7 linked regions of the Macaca fascicularis genome follow. The protein of the gene in region 1 interacts with the protein of each later gene in a pairwise test. Links are inferred from orthologs where the notes say so. Each region holds a gene or a part of one and is shown in the gene's direction. Other genes may lie near its edges. The genes, in order: UBE2I, ARK2N, TRIM38, KLHL12, TRIM54, SIAH2 and GMCL1.

Evidence for each region.
Region 2: the proteins of UBE2I (region 1) and ARK2N interact in a two-hybrid assay, tested with the Homo sapiens proteins (2 studies listed by BioGRID and IntAct). The two-hybrid records come from large-scale screens. The link is inferred for Macaca fascicularis from reciprocal best matches to the Homo sapiens genes UBE2I and ARK2N.
Region 3: the proteins of UBE2I (region 1) and TRIM38 interact in a two-hybrid assay, tested with the Homo sapiens proteins (2 studies listed by BioGRID). The two-hybrid records come from large-scale screens. The link is inferred for Macaca fascicularis from reciprocal best matches to the Homo sapiens genes UBE2I and TRIM38.
Region 4: the proteins of UBE2I (region 1) and KLHL12 interact in a two-hybrid assay, tested with the Homo sapiens proteins (2 studies listed by BioGRID). The two-hybrid records come from large-scale screens. The link is inferred for Macaca fascicularis from reciprocal best matches to the Homo sapiens genes UBE2I and KLHL12.
Region 5: the proteins of UBE2I (region 1) and TRIM54 interact in a two-hybrid assay, tested with the Homo sapiens proteins (3 studies listed by BioGRID and IntAct). The link is inferred for Macaca fascicularis from reciprocal best matches to the Homo sapiens genes UBE2I and TRIM54.
Region 6: the proteins of UBE2I (region 1) and SIAH2 interact in a two-hybrid assay, tested with the Homo sapiens proteins (3 studies listed by BioGRID and IntAct). The link is inferred for Macaca fascicularis from reciprocal best matches to the Homo sapiens genes UBE2I and SIAH2.
Region 7: the proteins of UBE2I (region 1) and GMCL1 interact in binary tests that used the Homo sapiens proteins (3 or more experiments, as listed by UniProt). The two-hybrid records come from large-scale screens. The link is inferred for Macaca fascicularis from reciprocal best matches to the Homo sapiens genes UBE2I and GMCL1.

The regions. Positions count from the first base shown.
Region 1 is NC_088394.1:2,054,568-2,058,666, forward strand, and holds the start of UBE2I (SUMO-conjugating enzyme UBC9), read left to right. Parts: upstream 1-1,299; 5' UTR 1,300-1,573; intron 1,574-1,790; exon of another isoform or gene 1,791-1,928; intron 1,929-4,099. UniProt on the Homo sapiens protein: Accepts the ubiquitin-like proteins SUMO1, SUMO2, SUMO3, SUMO4 and SUMO1P1/SUMO5 from the UBLE1A-UBLE1B E1 complex and catalyzes their covalent attachment to other proteins with the help of an E3 ligase such as RANBP2, CBX4 and ZNF451.
Region 2 is NC_088392.1:43,648,450-43,652,645, reverse strand, and holds the start of ARK2N (protein ARK2N), read left to right. Parts: upstream 1-1,396; 5' UTR 1,397-1,609; intron 1,610-1,960; exon of another isoform or gene 1,961-2,226; intron 2,227-4,196. UniProt on the Homo sapiens protein: AMPK substrate important for exercise capacity and skeletal muscle function.
Region 3 is NC_088378.1:146,961,088-146,964,587, reverse strand, and holds part of TRIM38 (E3 ubiquitin-protein ligase TRIM38), read left to right. Parts: intron 1-874; 5' UTR 875-904; coding exon 905-1,315; intron 1,316-3,500. UniProt on the Homo sapiens protein: E3 ubiquitin-protein and E3 SUMO-protein ligase that acts as a regulator of innate immunity. Acts as a negative regulator of type I interferon IFN-beta production by catalyzing 'Lys-48'-linked polyubiquitination of AZI2/NAP1, leading to its degradation.
Region 4 is NC_088375.1:60,679,069-60,683,074, reverse strand, and holds the start of KLHL12 (kelch-like protein 12), read left to right. Parts: upstream 1-1,206; 5' UTR 1,207-1,361; intron 1,362-3,239; 5' UTR 3,240-3,284; coding exon 3,285-3,479; intron 3,480-4,006. UniProt on the Homo sapiens protein: Substrate-specific adapter of a BCR (BTB-CUL3-RBX1) E3 ubiquitin ligase complex that acts as a negative regulator of Wnt signaling pathway and ER-Golgi transport.
Region 5 is NC_088387.1:94,935,227-94,939,238, reverse strand, and holds the start of TRIM54 (tripartite motif-containing protein 54), read left to right. Parts: upstream 1-1,212; 5' UTR 1,213-1,525; coding exon 1,526-1,693; intron 1,694-4,012. UniProt on the Homo sapiens protein: May bind and stabilize microtubules during myotubes formation.
Region 6 is NC_088376.1:53,611,089-53,615,367, reverse strand, and holds the start of SIAH2 (E3 ubiquitin-protein ligase SIAH2), read left to right. Parts: upstream 1-1,479; 5' UTR 1,480-1,795; coding exon 1,796-2,212; intron 2,213-4,279. UniProt on the Homo sapiens protein: E3 ubiquitin-protein ligase that mediates ubiquitination and subsequent proteasomal degradation of target proteins.
Region 7 is NC_088387.1:52,106,680-52,110,179, reverse strand, and holds part of GMCL1 (germ cell-less protein-like 1), read left to right. Parts: intron 1-2,339; coding exon 2,340-2,463; intron 2,464-2,848; coding exon of another isoform or gene 2,849-2,892; intron 2,893-3,500. UniProt on the Homo sapiens protein: Possible function in spermatogenesis. Enhances the degradation of MDM2 and increases the amount of p53 probably by modulating the nucleocytoplasmic transport.

The DNA.
Region 1 (4,099 bases):
AGGGAATGAATGAGGGAGGGAGGGAATGAGTGAGGGAGGGAAGGAATGAATGAATGAGGGAAGGAATGAGTGAGGGAGGAAATGAGTGAGGGAGGGAATGAGTGAAGGAGGGAGGGAATGAGTGAGTGAGGGAGGGAATGAGTGAAGGAGGGAGGAAATGAGTGAGGGAGGGAATGAGTGAGGAAGGGAATGAATGAGTGAGGGAGGGAATGAGGGAGGGAGGGAATGAGGGAGGGAGGGAGGGAATGAGTGAAGGAGGGAGGGAATGAGTGAAGGAGGGAGGGAATGAGTGAGGGAGGGAGGGAATGAGTGAGGGAGGGAATGAATGAGTGAGGGAGGGAATGAATGAGTGAGGGAGGGAATGAGGGAGGGAGGGAATGAATGAGTGAGGGAGGGAATGAGTAAGGGAGAGAAGGAACGAATGAACGAGGGAGGAAATGAGTGAGGGAGGGAATGAGTGAGGGAGGGAATGAATGAGTGAGGGAGGGAATGAGGGAGGGAGGAATGAATGAGTGAGGGAGGGAATGAGTAAGGGAGAGAAGGAACAAATGAATGAGGGAGGAAATGAGTGAGGGAGGGAAGGAATGAATGATGGAGGGAATGAGGGAGGGTGGGAATTAATGAAGGAGGGAATGAGTGAGGGAGAGAAGGAATGAATGAAGCAGTAAGGGAGGGAATGAGTGCGAAAGGGAATGAGGGCGGGAATGAATGAGGGCGGGAATGAATGAGGGTGGGAATGAGTGAGGGAGGGAAGGAATGATTGAGTGATGGAGGGATTGAATGAATGAGTCAGGCAGGGAATGAGGGAGAGAGGGAATGAGTGAGTGGGGGAGGGAATGAATGAATGAGGGAGGGAATGAATGAATGTGGTCAGTCCCCGCGGTCCCCAAGCACCCGGACACCGTGACCTTGGCGGCGGCCCCGCCGTCGGCGAAATGGGGGGCGGGGGGACCGGGAGAGCCCCGGGGCCAGCACGACCGCGCGTTGGCGAACGGAGTATCCCGCGCGCTCGCGGGGCTGGGGGCCTCTCGACCGGTCTCGGGAGTTGCGTGGGCGGGGGGTGGGGGGCTGTTGCCCGGAAGCGCCCCTCCCCCAAGGGCTCGCCCCGCCCCCGCCGCTCGTAGTCTCCCCACGCCCCGCCCCCGCCCAGGGCCCGCCCCCGGATTAGGGAGCATCCACACTTCTCCTCCCGTCGGTCATGCTCGCTTTCGGCCTTTTGTACGGGGTCGGCTCATTGGGCAGATGAGAAGGTCTCTCCGCCCACCGCCCAGAAATGGCCAATTGCAAGAGGTTTCACAGGGCGCTGAACTCGCGGGAGCGTCACCGTCCTGCGACGCTTCTGGGAATCCTTAGGCCTCAGTGGTCTTTGCCCCCCGGCCCCAGGCTCTGACCCCAAGGAAACCTCGGAGACCTGTGCCTGGAGAGGTGACCGCCGGGCATCCGGGGAGCTTTTGGAGATCTCGGCCTCCTTTATCCCCCGCTGCTCGCCGGCGTGTCCTCGGGTGGACGCGGGCACCCCGAAGGGGAGTTTACAGACGCTCCCTCACATCGGGGACGCGGCTCCTTTAAGGGCGTAGGTGTCCAGGGCGCCGCCTGACTGAAAAGTCACCCCCCCGGCCGGGCTCCTGGGGCGGACCCGGGGCGCGGGCGCGCGGCGGCGGGGCACGGGCAGCGGGGGGCGCGCGGCGGCGCGGGCGGTGCTCGGGGCCGGGCGGCGGTGGCAGCGCGCGAGGCAGGCGTGCAGAGGGCAGCCCTGCACCAGGCCCCGCCCCGCGCGCCCCGCCCGCGCCAGGGTCCTCGGAGCTGCTCGGGCTGCGCGCGGAGCGGGCTCCGGAGGGAAGTCCCGAGACAAAGGGAAGCGCCGCCGCCGCCGCCCCGCTCGGTCTTCCACCTGTCCGCGACGCTCGCCGGGGCCGCGGCCGCCCGAGGTGAGCGCGGGCGGGGGCCGGGCCGGGGCCGCGGGGCGGGGGTCGGGCCGAGGCCTCTACTCCTGTCGGGCCCGGGCCCCCGGCTGCCCCGCGCCCCGCCCCGCCGAGCCGGGCCCCGCGCCGCGGCCGAGCTTCCCGGGGAGCCCGAGAGGCCCCACGCTCGGCGCCGGTTCGGTCCGCGCTGCTGGCGCCGCGGGGCTGCGGCCCGAGCGCCCCGGCCGCCGCAGGCCTTGGGGGCCGGGGCTCCCCCACTTCGCCCCCGAGGTGCTCCTGGCGCGGGGCCGGGGCAGCCACCTGCAGCCGGGGCCCCGCGAGGCCGCGCCTTCCTTCTGCGCGGGGAGCGGCTTCCGGGGTCACTGTCGCCCCGCGGACGGAGGGGATGGGTCGCGGGGGAGACTCTTGGATTGCAACACCGCTGGCTCGCGGGGGTGGGGGCCGGCGAGCGGGCTTGTTTTCGGTGCCTTGAAACCAAAACAAGTCTTAAGTTTTCCTGCGCCTCTGAAGATGCTGCCCTGGCGCTTGCTGGGGCCCTGAACGTGAGCGCCTCGCTGGAGGGAGTTTTATTGTTTTGGGGATGGGTTTTTACCGGTTGAATAGTGGTTGGCTCTGGTAGTTAACGTGCGTGGGAGGAAGGTAAGGGAGTGATTAGCTGGGCTTGTGATCGTGGCCTGTAGTCACGCTTGAATCGCAGAATGAAGTGGTTTCGTTTTTATAATTGGAAGTTACGCTTTGTTTCTCTGTTTGCAAAGTGCCTGTCTTTGGGGAGTTCGGTTTGTTTCCTTTTATAGGACCTACGCCGAATGTTTTTTGAAGAACAAGAAACATTGCGTTTGGGTAGAGAAGCTGCGCAGCGGAAGACAGGACGGGACCTGAGTTTGTCCTGATTGCTCCTTCAGAGGTCCCTTCCCTAGACCACTGGGTGGTTGAAGGTGTGCGCTTGTGTGATGTGTCAGGGTTTGGGATCTTGCTTCAGAAACATTCTGGGGGCCTGGGGCAGATCAGGTGCGGCCAGGTGAGCGTCTCCTGACTGCAGGTGCCTGGGTCTTGCAGAAGGGAATACCTCCCCAAGCCTGGGAGAGTTTGCGTTTGGGTGCAGGAGGACCTTTACAGGCTTCTTGTGCCAGCCGTCGTGGCGACCACCCGTTGTGGAGATGAGTGCGGTGGAGTTGTGAGAGGTGAGTGCTTTGCTCACCTTCAGCCAGGAAGTTGCTCGGAAGTCGGTGCTGTCAACCAGCAGAGCAAGGTGGTGATCCGAGAAGCTAAAGCTCAGCCGGTCGCGGGTGCCCAGCAGGACAGAAGGCAGACCTTCAGGCCACTCCTGGAGTGCTTGGCCCTGTCCTGGTTGCTGCAGTGTCTGGGCCTTGCTTGGCTCTGATAGATGAGGGTTGTTTTTGTCTTTGCCTCATATAAGTTCCCTGCTCTGAAGGGTCTAGTAACTGCTAGCCATTCACTTAGTGCTTATCTGTTAATTTGGAAGGGCAAATTCGATTTTCAGCGGGATTTTGAATGCTTCGTCTGTGTTGTGATTACATTGTAACACATTGGCCACTTTCTCCAGGAGGCCAGTAGGAGGGGGAGCAGGGGGAGGGGCCTGGCTTCTGCCTAGGACAGGGTGGGTGTGCACCTGTGGCTCCTTGCCCTGTGGTGCAGTTTCCTGTGAGACCACCCCGTGGTGCTGAGTGCTTTGGGGCAGGGGATACAGCAGCATCAGCCAGACCTTGGCGGGAGGTCTCACAGGAGCACCCTCACGACTTCTCACATCTGAGACAGCAATAGCTAGGTGCTGGGACGGGGGCCTCTAGGTGGCTCTGTCCGGTCTTCAGTAGGAGGGCTACCTGTGGCAGGGTCCCAGGCCTGGCTGGCCTCTCTGGGGCTGGCCTCTCTGGGGCCTGGCCTTGCCTGGCTGTGAGGATCGTGTTGGCCATGGTCCTTCAGTGTCTGGAGCACTGGCCTGGGGCTTCAGAGACCTGCTTGATTCCTGGCCCCGCTCAGACCCCGGGCACCTGGGAGGTCGTGGCTCCTCAAAACGGCCGTTCACCAGGCTGCTTTGCACCGCACCAGGCACAGGCTGTGGCTACTCATGAAGCCCACCCTGGGGCTGGGGAAGCGAGAGCTGTGAGTCCTCAAGCCACAACTGAGCTGCTCCATGTGGAAGTGGAGGGTGGAGACAC
Region 2 (4,196 bases), on another chromosome or scaffold:
GCACTTTGGGAGGCTGAGGCGGGTGGAGAACCTGAGGTCAGGAGTTCGAGACTAGCCTGGCCAACATGGTGAAACCCTGTCTCTACTAAAAAATATTAAAAATTAGCCGGGCGTGGTGGCATGCGCCTGTAATCCCAGCTACTCGGGAGGCTGAGGCAGGAGAATCGCTTGAACTGGGGGGGCAGAGGTTGCAGTGAGCCAAGATGGCGCCACTACACTCCAGTCTGGGTGACAGAGCAAGACTCTGTCTCAAGAAAAAAACAAAACAAAACAGAACAAAAAACAAAGAAACAACAATAACAACAAAAAACAGGAGAAGGACCCAAGATGGTATCTCAGTAGTCAGGGCAGTATTCCCACAGCATTGGTTAGATCAGACTGTCATGGAATCTTTTAAAAACTCAGTGTGTTAGTCCACATTCACTCATTCATTTTCGGACAGTTGTGATCTTAGTAGTGATTTTTTCTTTGCTTTTCTTTTTTTCCTGCAAGAGGCTGGGCTCTTGTCACTACCCCACAACCTCTCAAATCCCTTGAGGACTCAGGTAGCAGAAAGTAAATACATGAATGAACGAGTGAAATAACATATACAGATAAACTACTTAGCTAGCACACACTACGTTCTCAGTGATTCTCAATGAGGCAGTGGTGGCTGTGGTTAAGAAGTAAGCTCTGCCTGTGTTGTAATCCAACACTGCCACTTACTTGGATGTGTCATCTTGGGCAGGTCACTCTGTGCCTCAGTTTCCACCTTTGCAACTTGGGGCTAGTAATGCCATCCAACTCATAGGGTTGTTATGAGTTGTAAAGAGGATTCATTGAATTTAACCCATTTAAATGCAAAGTGCCTGGTATGTAATAGGCATTCAATAAAAGTTATTTTCTTTTCATAATTATTCTTGTAGTTAGGGATGAAAAACTCGCACTCCTGTAGGCAGTCAGAAAAAATGAGTGAAGTGGGGGAACTAATGGGCCTGGTCTGAAGGGGGATACTGATGTTTAGGGGAGTACGGACTCAGTAGTGTAAGATTTTCAGAATCTCCTCTTGACGGGTCTCATCCGAGGTTCCAGCACAGCTCTGTAAAGGTGAAAGCTTTATTATTATTATTTTTCTTCTCAAAACACTGCAGTGCTTTGGGTGAGCGCGGGTCCTTGGCCAGATCTTGAGTCGTGAGATGCGTCTTCAGCATCTCCTGCTTCTCCTTGGGAAGCCCTCTACCCGCCAGTTGGCCCGCGCCCTCCTCCCCGTTCTCGGGGTTCGATCCACCTCCTTTCCCCTACCCTCCTAAGGGCTGACTGCAAATCGGAGGGCGACTGCAGAGGCGGAATTCGGGGCAGAGCGGCGTCTCCCCTGCGGGCCCCGTCCCACCAGCAGGTGGCGGTCGATCTGCAAGGCCTGCAAGGTGCCCCGGCAGAAACTTGAGCAGATGTTGGTGCCGCTGCCCAAGAAGACCTCAGCCTAGTCTCCCCGAGCCCGGCTGAGTCTCCGCGAGCCCAGCTGTCCGCATCCGCGAAAAAGCGGGGAGAGAAGGGCGCGGGCCCTCCGGAGGCTGGAGCGACTCAAAGATTCAGACACCGCGAGCTGCTTTCGGAAGGGCTTCAGGAGGGGGTGAGTACTGAGCAGCGCACAGAAAAGGGAGCGCTGTCCTTTGTTGAAGGCATTGTCCTTGTCTTGCATTGAGTGGCTTTCACACACCCCGGGAAAGACATTTCTGGAAGGAGACAGTCTCAACAGAAGGAGGGAGCGCGGGAAAGAAGCCCGGGGAGCTGGCGCCTTTACGCCCCGCGGTCTGCAGCGGGAGGAGCGCGGGTTCCATCGCGCCAGATGGCGCTGTCTGGCTTTTCTCGGGCCTCGGGCGCCAGTCTCCAGAGGTCCCCGGCGCAGCAGCCTCTCTAGCCGGCCGACGCAGGCTCTGTGTTTCCGGGCGGAAGTGAGGCGCCGAGCGGAACGGCCTCTGGTGACATTTTCTTGGGGGCGGCGCGGACGACTGAAGGGACTTGGTGGTAGAGGCTGCGGAGGCGGCGAGGTTCACTTTGATCCCGGCAGGGGCTCTGACCGCGACCCTCTGCTCGCCGCCGGCGCTTGTTCCGAGGAGGAGAAGGCGGCGGTGGCCGTCGCGTCCTGAGTCACCGCAGCGGGGAGAGTCCCAGCCGGGGGGTCGGTGCGTGCCCCGACGGGGCGCGCGCGGAGCGAGCGAGGAGGCACGGAGTCGCAGCGGAGCGCAGGTGAGGCGGGAAGGGGCGCAGGGCCGCGGCCTGGCTACTGGTCGAGTTGCGGAGCCCGGGCTGCGTCCCAGGGATGCGTCGGGGCGAGTCGGAGGGCTGCGGGCCGCGGTGAGGGCTCTGCGGCGTCCGGACGCTGGGATCCTGGCGGGCCCGGCTGGTGGGCGCCGGGAACTCGCAGCCTGGACTGGCGTCTGACGCGGGGGCATCGCACCGCTCCAACCTCCTTGCTCGTCAGCCGCTGGTGACCCTAGCGTCCTCCCGGCCCGGCGGAGTTGGCTACGGCACCCCAAGCCCCCAGACGCTGGGGCCGGGTCGAGGCAAGTCCTTTTCCGTGGGGTACTAAGGAGAGGCTGGAGGTGCCGCAGTCCCCGGGCTGCGGGGGGAAGCGGCTTCACGGCGTTGGAGTTGTCTTCACGCAACTTTCTGGCTCCTAGGCCCGCCTGGGAAGCAGTGGCGGCAACTCCGCCAGCTCCGCGAGCCGGGGGTCTGGCGCCGATACCTGCCCCTGCAGTGGAGAGCTCCAGGGCTGCGGCCGCAGTGGCCTTGGAGGAGGGAGAAAAGGCTTTCTTAGGCTTGGCGCCGCCTGCCTCTCGGCGTTTCCACTACCTTCGGTCGGCAGGCGCCTCCGGTCAATGGGAGAGATGTGTCAGTCTCCAAAATTGACCGCTTCTGGGGAGTTCGTCAACTTTATTTCAAAACCGGTGAGGATGTACACTGACGAACCCGGCTTAAAGACTATCGCCTTTACGCAAGCCATTCATTCTCACTTTTAAATTGTCCGCCTACCCCCCACCCCACTCCGTCCCCGGCAGCCCCCATCACAAAATTGATGTTCGCAGGTTGAAGTAGAGAACATCGGTAGGAGCCCTCCCAGATAGATCCTTGAGCAGTTTCGGCTTGGATGGGTTTTTCGTTTTTTGCCTGACCTTTTGCTTTTTGAATCCTCCCACCCAGTAAAATTAAAATCCCACTGATAATACTTCGTCAAGGTTGGACTTCTTAATTACAAATACATCTGCCAATTTTGCTTAGGCTATTATTGTGTAGTATTGGGTACATGCTAACAGTTTGAATCACTCCCTTTCTTCTCTTGGGATATTTTAAGGATGGAAGCTATTAACTTTCTAATGTAGTTTTGCTGATCCTGGCAATCTAGATTCCTCCAGTAATCAGAGCATTGCCTTTTGGTTTAACAAGCATTTTTAGAGGCCTGCAATTGATAGTTACTACCTGATGTCCTGAGGAGTCACATCGCTATTTTATTTATTTATTTATTTATTTGAGACGGAGTCTGCTCTGTAGCCCAGGCTGGAGTTCAGTGGTGTGATCTCTGCTCACTGCAACCTCCGCCTCCCGGGTCCTGGTTCAAGCAATTATCCTGCCTCAGCCTCCCGAGTAGCTGGGATTACGGACACGAGCCACGCCCAGCTAATTTTTGTATTTTTAGTAGAGACGGGGTTTCACCACGTTGGCCAGGCTGCTCTTGAACTCCTGACCTCGTGATCCGCTCTCCTCAGCTTCCCAAAGTGCTGGAATTACAGGCGTGAGCCACCGCGCCCGGCCTGAATCAGATTTCTTAATGGGAAAAATTTTTTTTCTGACACATTTTTGGGAAAATTTTTTTTTCTGACACCTTTTTGTGAAAAATGGGATGGACTGGACATTGGAGCTGGAAACTTTCCCCATTGTTAGAATAAGTTCACAGTGTAGTTGTTACTTACTCACTTTATATTACTTTAACATGCATCTATTTGAGAGTAGCTGTCATAATCTTTGTTTTATGGTTATCATGATTAATTCAAAACCCATATAGTAAAGATAAATTCAGCTTTAGGTTCTAATTTAATGCAGTTCCTTTAGGACTGAGGGCTAATGCATGTCCTTCAAAGGTTTCTTGCTCCTAATGTTAATAGTGACATTGGTACTTTCAGTCTTTTTATTGTATGACTAGTAAATTCTGTGCGCTTGTG
Region 3 (3,500 bases), on another chromosome or scaffold:
TCTCATAAGAAAAGAAAAAGAGCCCGGGTGCAGTGGCTCATTCCTGTAATCTCGGCACTTTGGGAGACTGAGGCAGGTGGATCACAAGGTCAAGAGATCGAGACCATCCTGGCCAAGCAACATGGTGAAACCCCGTCTCTACTAAAAAATACAAAAATTAGCTGGGCGTAGTGGCGCACCACTGTAGACCCAGCTGTTCGGGAGGCTGAGGCAGGAGAATCACTTCAACCGGGGAGGCGGAGGTTACAGTGAGTCGAGATCACACCACTGCACTCCAGTCTGAGCGACAGAGTGAGACTCTGGCTCATTAGAAAAAAAAAAAAAAAAATAGAAGACTGAGAAAAGAAAAATAGTTTAGAGCAGTCTGAGCTATGTGAGGTATGCAAAATTTATCAGGACCAGTGAGACAGGAGTATGGGTCTTCAGTTAAGACCCCATGTTTAAAAGCATTTTGTTCCTGACTGGCTGCCTCATCTATTACCTACATGTTCCTGAGATTTGTAATAAAAAGAACAATGTATAGCCAATCAAAAGCTTATGCTATTTTAATGTAAATTCTTGGTAAACAATTTTAAAAACGGCTTTAAAACTGCTTTTTTTTCCCCTTAAATAACCACTTGCAACTGCTTGCTAACGAGGACAACTTGAAACTCTGCATCTGGGTTGCAGTTCTCAATCGTGGCCCAAACAAACTCAGCCTCAGCTTCTTCCTTTTAAGTCCTCTTTTCTTCAATACAAAATGAGATAATAGGGGTTGGAAGGAAAACCTTCAAGACCTATGGAGGTCAGTAGCAGCCAGCTCATCACATAGAGGTGCAGGTGAGGTGTATTTTCATCATGGTAAAAATTCTGGCTGCTTCATCTCCATCTCTAGAGCCAACATTGGAGCTTTTCAATAAAAGCTATGGCCTCAACCACCAGCACCAAGAAGATGATGGAGGAAGCCACCTGCTCCATCTGCCTGAGCCTGATGACGAACCCAGTAAGCATCAACTGTGGACACAGCTACTGCCACTTGTGTATAACGGACTTCTTTAAAAACCCAAGCCAAAAGCGACTGAGGCAGGAGACGTTCTGCTGTCCCCAGTGTCGGGCTCCATTTCACATGCATAGCCTCCGACCGAACAAGCAGCTGGGAAGCCTCATTGAAGCCCTCAAAGAGATGGATCAAGAGATGTCATGTGAGGAACACGGAGAGCAGCTCCACCTGTTCTGTGAAGACGAGGGGCAGCTCATCTGCTGGCGCTGTGAGCGGGCACCACAGCACAAAGGGCACACCACAGCTCTTGTTGAAGATGTATGCCAGGGCTACAAGGTGAGTGTGTGGGTCAGGGGGCCTTGGTAAGTACCAAATCTTATCCTGCTCCCAGGAGCTGAGATGATTTAGCCTGAAACCTAATATTATGGTTTGGAAATACAGCTTTCATTATGTCATTCTTCTGAAAAATAGTTTATGATGATTTCTTGCTAAATTATCTAGACTGTCCGTTCTGACCTTCAATGGGATGGTTGGACTCATCTCTATCCATCTGTGTTATGATGAATTTCTCCTTGCTTTAGAACAGGTTGTTCTCAAACCAAACACCCACATTTTTTCTTGCTTCACACTATGAATATCATTTGAAAAACCACAATATGTAAAACCATGCAGTAGGGCCTGCAAACAGGGAAGAAAGACCCATTACCTTTTAGGTATCTACAGTCTAGTAAAGAAGATAAACCATCAAAAATGTCTGCCTGGAGGTCCCTGGTTTTGGTGGTGGGGAGGGACATTTAGGGTAGGGAGTGGTTCATCTCAGAAGTAACTCTTGAAGGACACATAAAAATTGAACACCTATTGGGGGATTTTCATTTGGGGAATGAAGGGTCAGTGACATTGAAAATATCACTCTGGTACCTATACTTTTTTTTTTTTTTTGAGATAGGGTCTTGCTCTGTGTCCCAGGTTGGAGTGCAATGGTGTAGTCTCGGCTCACTGCAGCCTCAACCTCCTGGGGCTCAAGCAATCCTCCCACCTCAGCCTCCCAAGTAGCTAGGACTACAGGAATGCACCACTATACCCGGATAATTTTTTTATTTTTTGTACAGACATGGTCTGGATTTCTTGCTTATACTGGCCTCAAACCCCTGATCTCCCTCCCATCTCAGCCTCCCAAAATGCTGGGATTAGAGGCATGAACCACAGTGCCCAGCTACTCTGGCATGTCTATAATAAAAGGAATATCAAGGAGTAAAATTCAAACTATCCATATAAGAAAGGGAGGAGAGGGCAGATTTTAAGCAAGATTCAGGAAGAAGAGTAAAAGATTTGGAAATGCTTGGTTGTGGAAGGTGAAGCAGAGGGAGAGGTTTTGTGTACCATCCAGGCTTCTTGCCAGAAAGCATATTAAGGAAGGAGGGACTTTGCTGTTGGCAGCATGGAGGAATGGGCATAGTCCTGATGTCCTTTTTCCTTTTCTGTCCTGCCTAGATTTGAGGAAAATGTTGCCCCCTGTGTCAGGCTCCTTATTCTGTCCTCCACGAGACAGAGGTGGTCTTGTATGAAGGCTCTAAGTCCTTCTAAGGACATGTCAATCCTGACCCCTACTCAGCTCATGGCAGCTCTTCCTTAAACTCCATGGAACAGCTAATAACTGCAATGATGATATTCCAATTTGAATTACTTTTCCACCAAGTAGTAAGAAAAGGAGGCTGCTTATGTTGAAATTGAGTTTGGTCACTTACTAGATGGGCAATTTTGGGCATGTTATTTAATGTCTTGACACCTTGGTTTCCCCATCTGTAAATGGGGATAATAGCAGTGTCCTCCCTCCCTAAAACACACACACAGGAGGTGGTTATAAGCTTTGAGGACATTAAAATATAGAATGCATAGAATAGCACTTGGCATATAGCAAGGACAATGTCATCTTTTGCTAAAACAGTTACATAGAGCCCTTTCCTGAGAATGCTCGAGAATTAATGAGTATACTTGTTGGGTTTAGAGAGGACAGGAGACAATTCTTTTAGCATTGATTACAATTAGCAATTTGGGTCAGCTTCAAATCACTTGGCATCCTGATTTTTCATGACTCATAAGACACAAAATTTCATGTGTGCCAAACACTGGTATTGGTTTTGCTTGGTTCAGCATGTTATTTTACAAAATCTTTTAGATGATGATTACCTTGTTCTATATATAACTTTTTCCTGGCAGGACTCTAGTGGAGGGTGTAGCTCAGGCTCTGGGTCAGCAGATGAGGGTGCAATGCTCCACCAGCTGGCAGCCATAGCCCTTTGGGCAAGTTATTTTACCCCTTTCTTAGCCTCATTTTCTACAGCACAGCAATGATGTTTAAAATCCTACCAACTATTCAGGGTTGCCAAGGGGATCAGTATGTTCCTGCACATATAGCCTTTAGCATGCTCTCTAGCAAAAAACAAGGAGGACTCAATAAATATTCACTATTATTCAAATATATCTTAGAAAACTGGGATTCCCCCTAGGTCCCTAATGAAGA
Region 4 (4,006 bases), on another chromosome or scaffold:
TAATTAACCTCTTTGCCTTTTCAGTCACTAAGATAAGTGCACCAAAATCAATTAGAATTTACTGAATCAATTAGAATTTCCTTAGAATCAATTCAGCGGTGATGACAGGGACCATTATGATGCAGAGTATATACTGAGGTCTGTGGGTCGCAGGGCTCAGAGGATTCTCGCCGCAGCGTTGTTCGGCACGAAAAGGCCATTGTGGACAATGGACGTGAAAAAATTTGAGGCCTCTGTGGGTTTTCTCGATGTCAAAAAGTTTCTCAGTACCTGGAAGGTAAAACATACTTGCTGCAATCAGATGCTTGGCATATTAAGCGTTGGAATTCTCTCTGTGTGCCCTGCCTCGTGAGCAGTAGGGAGGAACTCAGGCTCAGACAGTCGCTGAGCTGTAGATACATTCCCAGGCTCCCTGCCGGACCCCACAACATCCGGCCTTTTTTGTTTTTTCTTTCTTTTTTTTTTTTTTTTTTTTGGAGACGGCGTTTCAGTCGGTCGCCCAGGCTTGAGTGCAGTGGCGCGATCTCGGCTCACTGCAACCTCCGCCTCCTGGGTTCTAGCGATTCTCCTGCCTTAGCCTCCTGAGTAGCTGGGATTACAGACGCGTGCGACAACGCCCGGCTAATGTTTTTTGTATTTTTAGTACAGATGGGGTTTCACCATGTTGGCCAGGCTGGTCTCAAATTCCTGACCTCAAGTAATACACCCGCCTTGGCCTCCCAAAGTGCAGGGATTATAGGCGTGAGCCACCACGCCCGGACTTTTTTTTTTTTTTTTTTTTCAACAGGGTCTCTGCAGTGGCGACTCTGGCTCACTGCAACCTCTGCGCCTAGCTCAAGTGATCCTCCTGCCTCAGCCTCCCTAGTAGCTGGGACTACAGTCGGGGCCACCACGCCGCGCTAATTTTTTTTTTTTTTTTTTTTTTAGAAACGGGGTTTTGCCGTGTTCCCCAGGCGGGTGTGGAACTCCGGAGCTCAGGTAATTCGCTCGCCTCGGCCTGCCAAAGTGCCGGGATTACAGGCGTGAGCCACCATGCCCTGCCCACCAGACCTTTTTCTAATTCGGCTTCCTAGCAACGTGCAGAGGCCCGGCACCAGGGTGCAGGCAGGTCACGTGACACCACCTCTTCACGTGACGCAGACTCGAGCGGGAGGAGGGCGGTGCTCCAGCTGCATTGCGTCATCACGTCGCGCGGCCGCAGGGACCAGACCTGGACGGCTCCAGAGCCTCCAGAGCCTCCGGGTGGGGGCGGCGGCGGCGGCTCTTCGGCTCTTCCTGAGCCGCCTGCTGGCCCCGCGCCCCACTCCATCCCCACAGGCTGGGGACGGGCCCGGCGCTGCTGTGTGGGCTCGGGAGCGGAGGTGAGTTGCGCGGAAGTGATGGCAGTCAGCCCTTCCCTTCCTGTCCGTCAACTCCGGGTTATGGCCCTACCCCCCATCCTTGGTCTCCCTGTAAGGCGGAATGGGAGACATGCCGGAGAGAGGAGGAAGGCTGGCGGGGGGGCGGGGCATCTGGCCTCAGTCGCCCTCTCAACTCTCCCCTGAATTGCCCCCCTGCGGTACCTCCATCTGGCGGCGCCGGTCATATGCCTGGTGGTATCAGAAGGAAGGAGTTCGTTTCCTTCTCTAGAATGTAGTCTTTCCGGAATTTACTACCCCATTCCTGCCCCGAATCTCCCGAAGTGGAATCCCTCTATTCAGATGTTAACGGAAGTTCTAGAAAATAGGTCACTTCAGAAGGGTGAGGGTGAAGGATATGCTGAGACTTGGAGTGTTGAGGCAGGAATCCCCTAGAAGGAAGGCCACTCTGCACTAGGGGTACTGTCATTTTGGCACGGAAACGATAAAACACCCCCCAGGCTGTCTTCACTGTAAATGGACATTTGTTCCAGACTCTTTTTGCACCCCTAGAGTTGAAACTAAGTTGACTTAAGTCTTTTTGAAAAACATATGCTTTGATGAATCACCCCCTTTTCTGCAAAATGGGTCATGCAGTTGTTGGAGGGATTATCTATAGCGCTTATAGAGTAAAATGCCAACTATAAACAGAAGTAGATGAGAATTTAGGATCTCATTTTTCCTGTTGAAAAATTACTTGTGAGTTGCGAACTTCTGGAGACCACAGTTTTATTTCCTGCCGTCCCCCTACCCCCGCCCCGCCGGATCGTTTCAGAAAGTTTTGGATTCCAATATTGATTCGTTAACCAGTAATGGACATTTACAGATATAGAGTAGGAATACCCTCTTGTTGAGGAGCTTCAATATCTTAAGCAAGTGTAAGTCCATCGATAACTTGCGTGGTTTCCACTATTCAGTTAGGGTAATAGGTCAATTGAAGTTTCTTTCTTTTTTTTTTTGAGACAGAGTCTCGCCCTATTGCCAGGCTGGAGTGCGGTGGTGTGATCTCATCTCAATTCAACCTCCACCTCCTGGGTTCAAGCGATTCTCGTGCCTCAGCCTCCTTGGTAGCTAGGATTACAGGCGCGCGTCACCACACCTGGCTATTTTTTGTATTTTTAGTGGAGGCTAGGTTTCACCATGTTGGCCAGGCTGGTGTCAAACTCCTGACCTCAACTGATCCACCCATTTCAGCCTCCTAAAGTGCTGGGATTACAGGCGTGAGCTACTGGGCCTGGCCTGAAGTTTCATTTTAAGAAGAAATCCAGATATAGCTGAAAGTCATCAGACATAATTATTTGGCTACTTCTTTAGAAAAAAGTTTATTTTTACTGACTGGCCTTTCTCTAAGTTGAAGTTGAATACACACTTTTTCTTACATTAAATTGTAAACATTCATTGTGCAACTTCTAGGATAGAAAGCATACATATAAAGCAGGATCCTCAGCCTCTAAATACTTATCTACTTAAGGATATTAAATAGTAATGATATAACACCTTTAAGAAATTGTATATTTTCAATTTGTCATTTGAGACAAGAACCTTGTGAAGATTTACAGGACATATATTGTTTATCTCTACTTACGTTTCAACATTGATCATAATAAATGTCAAGTGGTAGGGACACTCCGTGATAGAGGAATTCAGAGAAAGAAGAGAGAACTTTTACATGTACTAGATAGTGGCTAGATAGTGGTGGTGATGCCAGGCATAGGAGTGCCCTCAACTTGTGTATGTTTGGGTCTGAGGGAAGCCTCTTAGGTTCTTAATTTGTAAAACTAATTAAATATGTTCAGTTTCCCTAGTTCTTTGAATATGCTCATTGTTTTTTTTCTCTTGTAGCTTCAGAATCCAAGGACCCATTTTGTTTTTTCTCCGCACTGCTTTATGGGAGGCATTATGGCCCCCAAAGACATAATGACAAATACTCATGCTAAATCCATCCTCAATTCAATGAACTCCCTCAGGAAGAGCAATACCCTCTGTGATGTGACATTGAGAGTAGAGCAGAAGGATTTCCCTGCCCATCGGATTGTGCTGGCTGCCTGTAGTGATTACTTCTGTGCCATGTTCACTAGTGAGGTAAGTGATAAGTTAGCCCCACACAAATGAAACTCCCGTGGTACTCTAGTTGTCTTATTTCACTGAATAAAATAGTAGAACTTTGATATAATTGTGAATTTTTACAGTGTGATGTTTTGGCAGATTCTGGATAAGATCTACCACTTAGATGACTATGCTTTAGTTTCCTCATCTTTAAGTTAGGAATAATAGTAATATGTAATAACTGGTTATTAAGGTTATTGTGAAGATTATTTTATGAAATAACGTACAAAATGCTTAGAGTAGTTTAATATGCAGTAAAACACAAATGTCAGCTATTGGATTTTACTATTTCTTAAATTTGTTTTCCAATTTTTCTCCTTTTTTTGTTTTTAATTTTATTTATTTATGTATTTATTTGTAGAGACAGGGTCTCACTGTGTTGCCCAGGCTGGTCTTGAACTCCTGGGCTCAAGCAATCCTCCCACCTTGGCCTCCCAGAGTGGCCACATCTGGCATTACAGGTGTGAGCCACTGCACCCGGCCTTTTCTCCTTCTAAAGTCTA
Region 5 (4,012 bases), on another chromosome or scaffold:
AAAATAGGGGCATGAAATATGTGATCCGGAGAAGATTGCACTTTCTGGACTCTTTTCCCACTCTTGCCTCTTTGTGCTGCTGTTTCGTATCCTCCTCACACCGTGTATTTCCTACCCACTCAGGGTCACTAGCTACTAACTCCTCAGACTTCTCTTCCTGGACTGGGAGAAGGGCTAAAGAATGGCGGTAAATAAAAGAGCTTTTGTCCAATCCCAAGGCATATTTTGGACCCAGAAAAGACAAATTGTGTCTGGGGTGGAGGAAAAAGGCCTAAAGAAATTGCTTCTTGGCTTTTTGGCTAATATCAAGTGGAGAAAAAGACCTGTAGGAGAAAAAGAAGACCAGTGCTCACAACTGGGGCGAGCCTGGCTTGGAGAGGAGGAGTCCTGGACAACTGTGGAGCTGGGGCAGAGGCTTCCTGGAGCCTTATGATTATGACTTTGTCAGTGCTCTAAAATTTCCCTGGAGGTTGATTCCCTGGGTGCCCAAAATAGGTCCCTGGCATTCATGTCCTTTCTGCCCAGCTCACCTTCTCCCAATTTCCTAACAAATTTGAAGTCCTTAGAGTGGCTCCAGGGATGTGTTCACGAACCAGAATCCCACATTTCCTCGGGCGCATGCTCATAGGTAGGTCCAGGCCTTGGCACAGTACTCATTTCTAGCCTCTTGAGCTTCATTTCCTAGGGTGATATAAGAAAAGGCAGGCAAGAACAAAAATGAGCCAGAGGTATTGGACAAGAGGCTTGATGGAGTCTCTGGAGCTGCTGTTCTGAATCACACAGTCTTGAGGAGGAGGACCAGGGTCACTGGCTGAGCCTGTGGAGGAGGCAACTGCTACTGACTCTAAGTCTGGCAAGATCTTTCCTCCCACCCTGAGCTATGTATGGGTGCTTCTCACACAGGCAGATTTAGATTCTGTGTCACTGTCCTGGAAGAAGGGCCCAAGCCAGAGCAGGGGTCCTGGGCTCAGAGGAGCCTTCAGAGTGAGAGGGCAGCACCTTTGCTGACCCACCTTTCACCGTAAGCAGTGGTGCTTGCCCCTGCCCTTGCTCAGGGGAGTCACCCATTCCTGAGTGAGTCAGGGTCACTCACTCCGTGACAGCTGTGGCTCGCCTTACATGAGCTAAATTGGGAATTGGAATGTCATGCAGATGCCCCTTGTCTCCCCACCCCCACAGTAAAATTAATCTCCTCTCTGGGGAGTAAGGGACAAACAGTGCTACCCACAGAGTGAACAAGAGAGAGTCATTTGGGAAACAAAAGGAGGACTTTACAGAGAGAGAGGGATAGCTAAAACTACGTGAGCCTGCCGAGGGTGCAGAGCAGAAAGTAGAGACAGAAGTGTCTGAAGACTGCTATCTGGGACGAGACAAGTTGTTAAAGGGACAGGAGAGAGAGCAGAGCTATTTCAAGAGTGAGCCACAGAAGGGAATCCACAGGCCGTCTGAGTGAGGAAGGGTCTACAGACAGTGAGTGAAGGCCAGGAGCAGGACCCAAGCCAGGGTAGGCACAACCACCGAGGGGATGAACTTCACCGTGGGTTTCAAGCCGCTGCTAGGGGATGCACACAGCATGGACAACCTGGAGAAGCAGCTCATCTGCCCCATCTGCCTGGAGATGTTCTCCAAACCAGTGGTGATCCTGCCCTGCCAACACAACCTGTGCCGCAAGTGTGCCAACGACGTCTTCCAGGTGGGCGCCAGGGATGGGGCAGGGCCAGGTAAAGCAATGCAGACCTGTGGGGGACTGATCAGGTCAGAGCTAAGACCCCAGAAAGTGATGGATAGAGTGCTCTCTGAGGTAGGTGGTGGCTGTTGTGGCTGGAGAGCAGAAGGGCTGGGGTCCAAGCAAATCCCAGAGCAAGCATGAGTCAGCAGCTGCCCTGCAGGCTGGCAGGTACAGCCTGTCCATAGACGGCAGCTGGAGTGCTGGGATCTGCTGAGGAAAGGAGACCCTGTGGAAACTGGGAGGGAGGGGATCCTACACCGGCCTTTTAAGAGCCTGTGCCAGACTCTGCATTCCAGTTTGGAGTTTCACACTTTGAGAGCATTGCGGAAAATACGGAGAAAAGATTAATGAGATAATGAAACATTAAAAAACAAACAGAAAAAACCCAACCCTGTGAGAAAGCTCCATAATGGCAGTAAAACGATTCGTGTTTAAGGAAAGTTCAGGGCATCCGTTGTGGGGGACAGAGTTAGACGCAGTGGGCAGGAGACTGGGAACTCTCCCCAACTTGAGTTCATACCTGTTACCTCCAGATTGTTGAGTAAAGAGGCCTACTGGTTCAAAGCTATTGAGGTCACTTGACAAGAAGAGAGAAGGCAAAGAAATTTACTTTTAGAAGTCTAGCCAGTTTTGGTTTATTTGTGGTCATGGAGCCAAGCATAGCTAATCAAATTCACAGATACCATTTTAGCCACTGGTTTAGAAATAAAAGCTGCATATACCAGAATGGATTATAAGTGGGCTTTTTTTTCTTTTCCTGTGCTACCGGGGAGGTTCTAGTAGGCTATGAAATGGAACAGAGATCAGGGTGAGGGGCAAAGGCACACACACACACACACACACACACACACACACGCGGCCTTGCCGATTAAGCAAAAGCTCTGAATGTGGCCGGGCGTGGTGGCTCACGCCTGTAATCCCAGCACTTTGGGAGGCGAGGCCGGCGGATCACGAGGTCAGGAGTTCGAGACCGGCCTGGCCAATATGGTGAAACCCCATCTCTACCAAAAATACAAAAATTAGCTAGGCGTGGTGGCAGGCGCCTGTAGTCCCAGCTCCTCAGGAGGCTGAGGCAGGAGAATCACTTGAACCCAGGAGGCGGAGGTTGCCATGAGTCGAGATCATGCCATTGTACTCTGACCTGGGTGACAGAGCAAGACTCTGTCTCAAAAACACAAAAACAAACCCTGAATAGACCAGAGCTGGCTTAGTATGTGTGTCAGTGATACGGAACATCCCAAACAAGTATTCTTCAGTGTCAGAAATGATGAGGAAATGTGTTAAACACAAGGGATTTTTAACCTAACCAAGAAAATACTTCCCTCTTAAGTTCCTCGGGGCAGCTTGTTTGGGAAAGGAATGGACTGGCTAGGTCCCGCCATCCCACGATGTACCCTGTGACCCGCCCCTTGTATGTCTGCTGTGTGTCATCTTCACTGCAGACCAGCACTCTGTGGTCTCTCCTGCCATCTTCCCATTGAGGCCCATTCCCTCTCCTATTCTTTTATGTGTCCAAACCTGCCATTATTCAGCTCCAGAGTATCTCAGAGGCAGTAGATTTTCCGTCTCGGGGGACCCAGACCAAATGCTATGCCTCCTCATCCTGGGCATGAAGTCCTGCATGAGAGGCAATGCTTTGCCCACCATCTTGGTGTTTCCTTGGTCTGAGGAATTCCGAACATCCTTCAGGCTGAGATGCCTAGGAGGAAATGGCGGAAAGATTTTGCCATCATTTCTCATGAACTGACAGTGAAACATCCTCTCACTGGAACTTGAAATGTGTGAAAACAAAGAGAAGTTTTGAAAGTTAAGGTGACGTGTCCTATAGAAAAGTGGTCAGAATGTCCAAGAGCATTCCTGGGTGCCTCTGTCGTCTGGCAGAGGGGCCCAGGAGCAGTCCCCATACATGGAGGCTAGAATGTGTTCAAGTGACATGCTTGTTTAAGTCAACCCTTTCTACCCAAGCACACTGTTTCAGTTCCAGAAAGCTCTGGAATACTGATCTGGGCTCAGAGAGACCTTGGAATGGCTTGGGGCAAACCCTGTACAGAATATTTGGAGATAACGTGATACCCAGGGCTTTGGGGTGGCCCTGTGGGTCTGGAGTGATGTGTGTCGTTTGAGGTGCAGAGCAGCCCTGGCCCCTCCAAGGAGGAAGAGTGAAGAGCTCATCCCTTGCTGCTTATTTGGGAGGGCCTGGTGGGAGGCTGACCCAGTTCTTCAGCTGCACTCAAGTCTGTATATCTCAATATATCTCAGTAGATCTCCCTCGGAAAGATGAGC
Region 6 (4,279 bases), on another chromosome or scaffold:
ATTCTCAGAGCTCCAATAGTAGCTGATACGTGATAAATGCTCAGGAAACATTTACCGAACGATTGAATATCTACAACTATTACGTTTTTTCAAGATTTATACCAAATTCCATCAATTCCATGCATGCAGTCATTCTATAGAAGCCCTTTGTAAGATTAAACTTTATTTCTTCTGGGCTCTAACGCCGTATTTCTTGGACAAATTGTATTCATTCATATTAAACATCCACTAATATTTTAAAAAGATAACAGCTAATGTTTAAATAGTGCTTATGATGAGCGAGGTTGTTTCAAAAGTTTGAAACATATTAAACTCATTTACTCCTCACTGCCCCACCTATAAGATAGGTATTGTTTTTATTCCACTTTTACAGTTGGAGGGAACCATTTTTCACTCAGTCTTAATAGTTGGTCCTTACCTCTGTGGCTCCTACAAATACCGATTTCCACCTAGGGTAACCCTTTCCCCAATTCTGGAATCGTTGGCTTAAGCAAAGTTTGCAGAAAAACAATTTAACTCGGAGCACACAGTTACATTTGGACATGCGGTTCACTCCGGGCTACGGTGCCCTCTCTAGCGCTTCTGCTGGGCGCGCAGGGTGGCCTACAGCTCGCAACAAAGACTCGGACTTCGGCCGGCTCTTTACCAAGCGGACTCAGCGCCCTACACTGGAGGCTCACCTACTGTCTTCAGAGACCTCACGACCCAACCCACGTTTCTGGCATTCCTAGATGATCTCGAACTCTTAGCCAACGCTGTCCATGAGCTCCCTCCTCGGCTATACAAGCCAGGGGCGCTTAATTCAACGAAGCTTCCTCCTGGTCCGCTGGGAAAGGAATAAAGGGGGCTTACCTCCTCCCCACCGCCCCCCTTCTTTACTCAACCCCACCGTTAACTGTACAAAACTAGGTCCTGTGCCCCCTGCAGACCCAACTCGGCCCCTCGCCCTGCTCCCACCCAATGCTTCCCGTCCTGACTCGGAACACAGAACTCGGTTGGCCGCGTCGCCCTCCTCGCCTGCACGCTGGTGACTCAACCCTGAGAAGACAAACCTCTCGGTTTTTTCCGACCAGTGCAGGGGCGCCGGCGCCCCGCCCCTGCCCGCCAGCGTACTGTCCCACCCACCGTCCACGCCCCCGCCCAGCCTGAAGTTGCCCTTCTCGTTTGAGCTGAGGGACGCGTCGGCCAGGCACCCCGGGGTGTGGCCAGAGGACTTCGGCGACGCCTTCCCCGAGAGTGGCCTCCCTCGCCAACCCGGAAAAGACAACCCCGCGGGGCTGCGGCGAGCCAGGCATGCTCACTGGCGCAGGCCCGGCCCGCAGCCCGAGCAGGAAGCGCCGGCGCTAGGCGGCCCCCTGCGCTGCCAGCTGGAGCCGGGCGGAGCCAGCGCCCCGGCGCAGGGTGGCTCTGCCAGTCCCCGCGCGCCTGGGCGGCCGCACACGTGTCCAGGCGTCACGTCCGCGCGCGCCCCCGGGGCTTGCGTCAGCGGCCGCTCCAGAAGCGGGTGGGCCGGGGCTCCTTGCGCACCGCTGGGTTCGGGGCCCGGACGCCGCTGGGAGGAGGGCATCGCGCGGGGTCCGACGCGGAGGCGTGCTCGGAACGCCGGGGGCTGGGGAGTGCATCAGCGCGGTCCAGCCCTCCGCCTGCCGGAGGCCGAGAGTCTCTGCCGCCCAGACCTGGGCTGGGCGCCGTGGCGTTGCCTCGGAGCTCGCTGCCCGCGGGGCGCGCACCGCCTTGACCCGGGCGGCCCCGCGGCAGGCAGGCGCCCGCAGTTCCATGGTTGGTTCGGAGCGCGATGAGCCGCCCGTCCTCCACCGGCCCCAGCGCTAATAAACCCTGCAGCAAGCAGCCGCCGCCGCAGCCCCAGCACACTCCGTCCCCGGCTGCGCCCCCGGCCGCTGCCACCATCTCGGCTGCGGGCCCCGGCTCGTCCGCGGTGCCCGCCGCGGCGGCGGTGATCTCGGGCCCCGGCGGCGGCGGCGGGGCCGGCCCGGTGTCCCCGCAGCACCACGAGCTGACCTCGCTCTTCGAGTGTCCGGTCTGCTTTGACTATGTCCTGCCTCCTATCCTGCAGTGCCAGGCCGGGCACCTGGTGTGTAACCAATGCCGCCAGAAGTTGAGCTGCTGCCCGACGTGCAGGGGCGCCCTGACGCCCAGCATCAGGAACCTGGCTATGGAGAAGGTGGCCTCGGCAGTCCTGTTTCCCTGTAAGGTAAGGCCAGGGACAGCCCGCGTATCTCCGCCGGTGACCTCAGGGACTCCGGTATCCTCCAGCCCACTGGCAGGCCCGGAAAGGCGGGCGGCATCTCTCATTTAAAAAAAAAAAAAAAAGAAAAAATGTTTACATTTCGTCTACCCTCCCTCAAACCCACTTTGGGAGTAGTTCTGGGTTGACATTTACCGAGTAATGGTTAATTGACAGTTAACAGATTAATTGGCATTCGCTGGTCGTCAGAACATCGTAGCTCACCCGGCCCAATGCCCGCGTCCTCTGCAGACATGTATTCGGGTACGCTCGATAGGGCTGGGCCGCACCAGTAAAACTTGGACCGAGAAACTGACTATGTGGGGACTGAGGAGGGAAGAAACGGGCGAGCTAAACGCACCCTTGTCCAGCGCTCGGCTTGGCTGAATTGATACTGGAGTCCTGCACCCCGCGCCTACAGTCTGCGCACCCCTGACACGTGGGAGCTCTCGGGAGTGTAGCTAAAAAAAGGGCGCCTACAGCCTGTTTTCTTCTAGCTAGAAGAAAACCCTGCAAGCCACGCCTTTTTCTCTCCTAGCCTTCCAAGGACTGGGAAGGACTGAGGAGTTGTGGCTGCGTTTTTGTACTATGTGGGGTGAAAACAGTCAATCAAGAAATTAACAAGGGCACTCAAGAGCTGTTGTTACAGTTGTTTAAAGCTCATCAGTTCATTTTTTATTTAATGTAAAAAGTTTTCAATGCCCTTGCGAAAAATGCAAGCCAAGACAATAAGTAAAATGAAAGACCAAGACCTCTCCCCTCCTTTCCCACCATTGTTAGGTTTAGTGTGTATCTTTTTAAACTATATATACATACACCCTCGCAGCTAAATATAGAATCATAGATGTCAGTGTATGTCAGGGAGGTTTTTTAATACCCACACATAGATGTAAGTTTTTCTCCAAAAATGGCATCTGCAACTTGCTGTTTTTAAATTCATATTATCATACATATTTCTCTATGCCTGAAACCTAGTCGACTTCACTGTATTTTAAATGACTGTATAGTATTGCATTGTGTGGTCATATTGTAACATTTGTTTACCTTCAGGAGCAGTTTCACAGACATACTTGTCTACATTACTTCATTATGACCTAGAACTATACTGTAAAGTTCATTTTCTGAAATTAGAAGTAGAAATATTGTCATTAATACTTTCCAGTTTTTTTGTAAAAGTAACTTGCTCTGCCTCTTGGGCCCTTTAGGCTGTCTTGTATTTCTCCTTGGTGCTGCTTATTTTATAGGACAAGAGCTCATTTTTAAATTAAAAATAATCCACCAGAGAATTCAGGCGTGGGACTCAGGTCAGTAAAATGAGTGCTTTAATTTGGTCTGCTGCCCTGCTGCAAATGAGGTTTAAAATAGCATATTTAAATAAGAGTTTGAATCAGTGTTTGGACTAGGGTGTTTCAGGCAACCTTAATAAATTGCTTTTAACCCCTCCTCATATAATGCTTACTAATTCACTCAGCCCAGTTTCTCAAAATTTAGATGAAGTATTTGCATAGTTGTCTTAGGGTTGTGAAAAAGGAGACAAAGGTTTGGTGGTAGTTAACATAGAGTGGCTATTTGATGTTTGAGATATATTGCAGGGGTGGGGGATGCCCCACAGGATTTCTGGGGAGCCATTTTCTCACCCCTTTACTTTCCCTTAAACCCGCAGTGGCTAACAAAAGAAATGGCTTTTAGGTGAGTTTTAGTTCACAAATGAGCATTTGATATTAGTCAGTAATCCATAATTTGTTTTTAAAATGTAACCTTAGAATTGTGTTGTTCCCAAGAGAAAGGGAAGGAAACAGTTATGCTATATGGAGCATGAAGTTTCACTTTCAGGATCTAGAACTCTGGTTCCTATGAAAGCATATGTTCTTTCCTAACGTGAAACAGGCTAGTGAAATCAACCTTGAAGAGTAGTTCTGGGAATCGGGGGTTCTCAGCCTTTCTGTACATGTCAGTGATTTTCTGAGTCTCTATTCCATAAGAATGCAGTTGGGCAAAGCCATTACTTTGCAAGCTGAAATTTAAAAGGGCCAA
Region 7 (3,500 bases), on another chromosome or scaffold:
CTATTTCCAATGTACCTCTTCTTTGAGTAAGAAGACTACTAACTTGGTTATAGGTGGGGCATGCTTTGTAGAGCAGAGTTTCCCAAGCTTTCATGGATCACAGCACATTTCATGTTTTAGTAATTTTCACTCCTAGTCCAAAAGAAATAGCTCATAATTAGGGCCAAACAACCTAATGATAGCAGATTGCATGGTATCTGAAAGGTGTTACTGTGTTTCCTTCAAATTTAAAATATTCCACATGCCTCTCTGAGTTGGCTGTGGTGCTCTAAGTTCAGATGGTATCCTGAACTGGTGAATTTCACACAGAGTTTGGGAACCATGACTCAGGGTGAATGGATTGGGAGTGAACAGGCCACAGATTCTTTAAATTTCAGAATGAGGATTGCTTTGTCTGGGCACCAGCAGCTACACTACAGCCTTAGATCTTCCATTAGCTTTGTGCTGTTTCTAGAAAAGCCTTGGAATATTTTTGCCTCAGTATCTGTACTCTCCTTATCTATAATCTGTGTTCATAGAGTGGAGAAGGCACTAATTTCCCCATTTTCTGCCCCTCTTCTTTCTTCTGCCTTTGTTTCCCTGAGACCTCATCCTACTTTTCTCCCAAGGGTTCTAACGGGCAGATAAGCTTAGCCTCCATCCTAGCCCTCCATAATGTATTTTTTGGCTATGGCTTTCACTGTTCTTTTTCATTTGAATTTATTTTCTAACCTTCAGATCTGTGTAAATCTCTCATCAAGTGATGAGTCTACCCTTTACCTTTTCCTGGTGTGGACTTATTCCTTTTTGTACTCTTAATCTTTAATGTAATTTGGGGAGGGATGGGAAGCCAACATGTGTACATTCTGCTATCAGGAACTGGAAACTACATTGTCTCTTGATTTCTTATCATAATCAATGAAGTGGGTACTATTAATGTCCTCTTTTTACAGCTGTGATAACTGAACAGGGGGGCAGCTAGGACTCAAACCCAAGTCTGTTACCACTAAGGCATGTGCTGTTTTTATTGTTGGCTAGGAAGAGGTGTTAAGTACACAGGTGTTAAACTCACCGGTTCAGGATGTCATCTGAAACAATTACTTCATTTTAAAAAAGAGATTGAGGGCCGGGCGCGGTGGCTCAAGCCTGTAATCCCAGTACTTTGGGAGGCTGAGACGGGCGGATCACGAGATCAGGAGATCGAGTCCATCCTGGCTAACACAGTGAAACCCCATCTCTACTAAAAAATACAAAAAAAAAAAAAACTAGCCGGGCGAGGTGGCAGGCGCCTGTAGTCCCAGCTACTCGGGAGGCTGAGGCAGGAGAATGGCGTGAACCCGGGAGGCGGAGCTTGCGGTGAGCTGAGATCTGGCCACTGCACTCCAGCCTGGGCGACAGAGCAAGACTCCGTCTCAAAAAAAAAAAAAAAAAAAAAAAAAAAAAAGAGAGAGATTGAAAGTTTTATGTGCTAGGAAAGCTGTCAGAATTGGTCAGGAATTTGAGATATTGATCAGCCTCTGCCTAGAGCCTTTTCTTGGTTACTGGACCATTTTGAGCAATAATTTTCAAACTTTATTTTTTTAGTCAAGTTCTTCCTTTAAATTAAATCTGTGCAGAAATCCCGTATGTTTACAGATATAATAGGTGATGCTGCTCTGGTTCAAGTTAGATGGGATACTCACAGTTCACTCCTCAGCTCTCCTTGGTGGCCCCTAAGACTTCTCCTTTGAGCAGTTTTTAAAAACCTTTCATCTGAAATAAATAAATAAATAAATTTAAAAAACTAATAAGAAAATAAAATCTTTGATCTAAGGTTGCAAACCATTTGTCCAGCGGGAAGAAAACATTTTAAGTAGTTTAAGAATAGGTTGGTACCAAAGTAAGATTAAATGTAAATCATTTTAAAATTACTTGGGTAAGTGAAATGTTTACTCTTGTTCTCCATTTCCTAGTTGCAGATTATTGCACTATTTGAGTTCCTTCATAGTGCTGGTTTTTAAATAAGGAAATAAGCAAAAAAATCAACATGCTAACTTCTTAATCTATTGAATAGGTAATTAAATTAGTCCAAAATTGCTAAAATGTGTGTAGTGAAAAGTCTGCCTCCCATGCCGCCCCCATTTCTCCACTATCTCTCTCATGCATAGAGGACCCCAGAGATAACCACTATTGTTAATTTCTTATGTACTCTTCTAGACACAAGAAAATTTGAATATATACTCTCCCCCTATCCTTTTACACAATAGGTAAGTTGACTCTATTTAATAGAAATTGAATAAAAGGAGTATTTAGAAATATATGCAAAATCAGTAAAACATTCAATTTATATAAATATGTGACTTTTTCATTTCTTTTAACAGGAAAAAATTAAAGAGTACATCTAAATATATTTATCAAACATTATTTTTGAATGGTGAAAACAGTGACATTAAGATTTGTGCTCTAGGAGAAGAATGGAGCTTACACAAAATATATTTATGTCAAGTAAGTATTTTTTCTATTTGAGTAACAGAGTAATCACTTAAACTCTTAAATCATGTTCTTTCTCATTGCACTTCACAGTAATCTTTTGCATGAACACCATAGTGGTTAAATCCTCTCATTTGGTAAAATGTCTGTAAGAAAAATGGTAAGCATTGTTAGTGAAAACTAAGTTTGGTCTAGAAAGAGATTTTGAGATTTCAGTATCATACGAGCCTAATACTACGTATTTGTCATTACTTCATAAAGTGCTTTTTTCAGTGTCTTCTGTTGATAAAAGGGGAATAGTTGGGGAAAAATATTTAACATTAAAGTTAAGATCGTAATGTGTTTATTTTGCTTATGGTTATTTAAATTGGATAAACTCACCTGAAATGTTGCTTTGTAGTTCACATTGAGTGTGAGTGGAAAGTTCTCCCCTGGAAAATCCAGGTAAAGACAACACCAAAAAGTATATAGACTAAGTCGATTTCTGTACTGAAAATATTACTACTTGCACCCCACTTTAAAAATTCAGAACTTTCATAGCCGGCGTGGTGATGGGCACCTGTAATCCCAGCTACTCAGGAGGCTGAGACAGGAGAATTGCTTCAGCCTGGGAGATGGAGGTTGCAGTGAGCTGAGATCGTGCCACTGCACTCCAGCCTGGGTAACAGAGCGAGACTCTGTCTTAAAAAAAAAAAAAAAAAAAAAAAAATCAGAGTTTTCAAAATAGAATACAATGTTGCTCTAAGGGCCCAAATATTTTATTCCAGATATTGGTCTAGGCACTAGGAATAAAACAACAGTTTTTATCGTTTGGAACTTATATTTTTCCTCTTTACCATTTGAGAATAATTACTGGTAAGACAGTATAGTATAAACTTTTTCAGTAGAAGTATTTGGAAAGGAATTGCCTTCTCTAACATTTTAATCATGTTTTAAAATGTGTTTTTGAGACCGGGTGCGGTGGCTCACGCCTGTAATCCCAGCACTTTGAGAGGCCGAGATGGGCGGATCACAAGGTCAGGAGATTGAGACCATCCTGGCTAACACCGTGA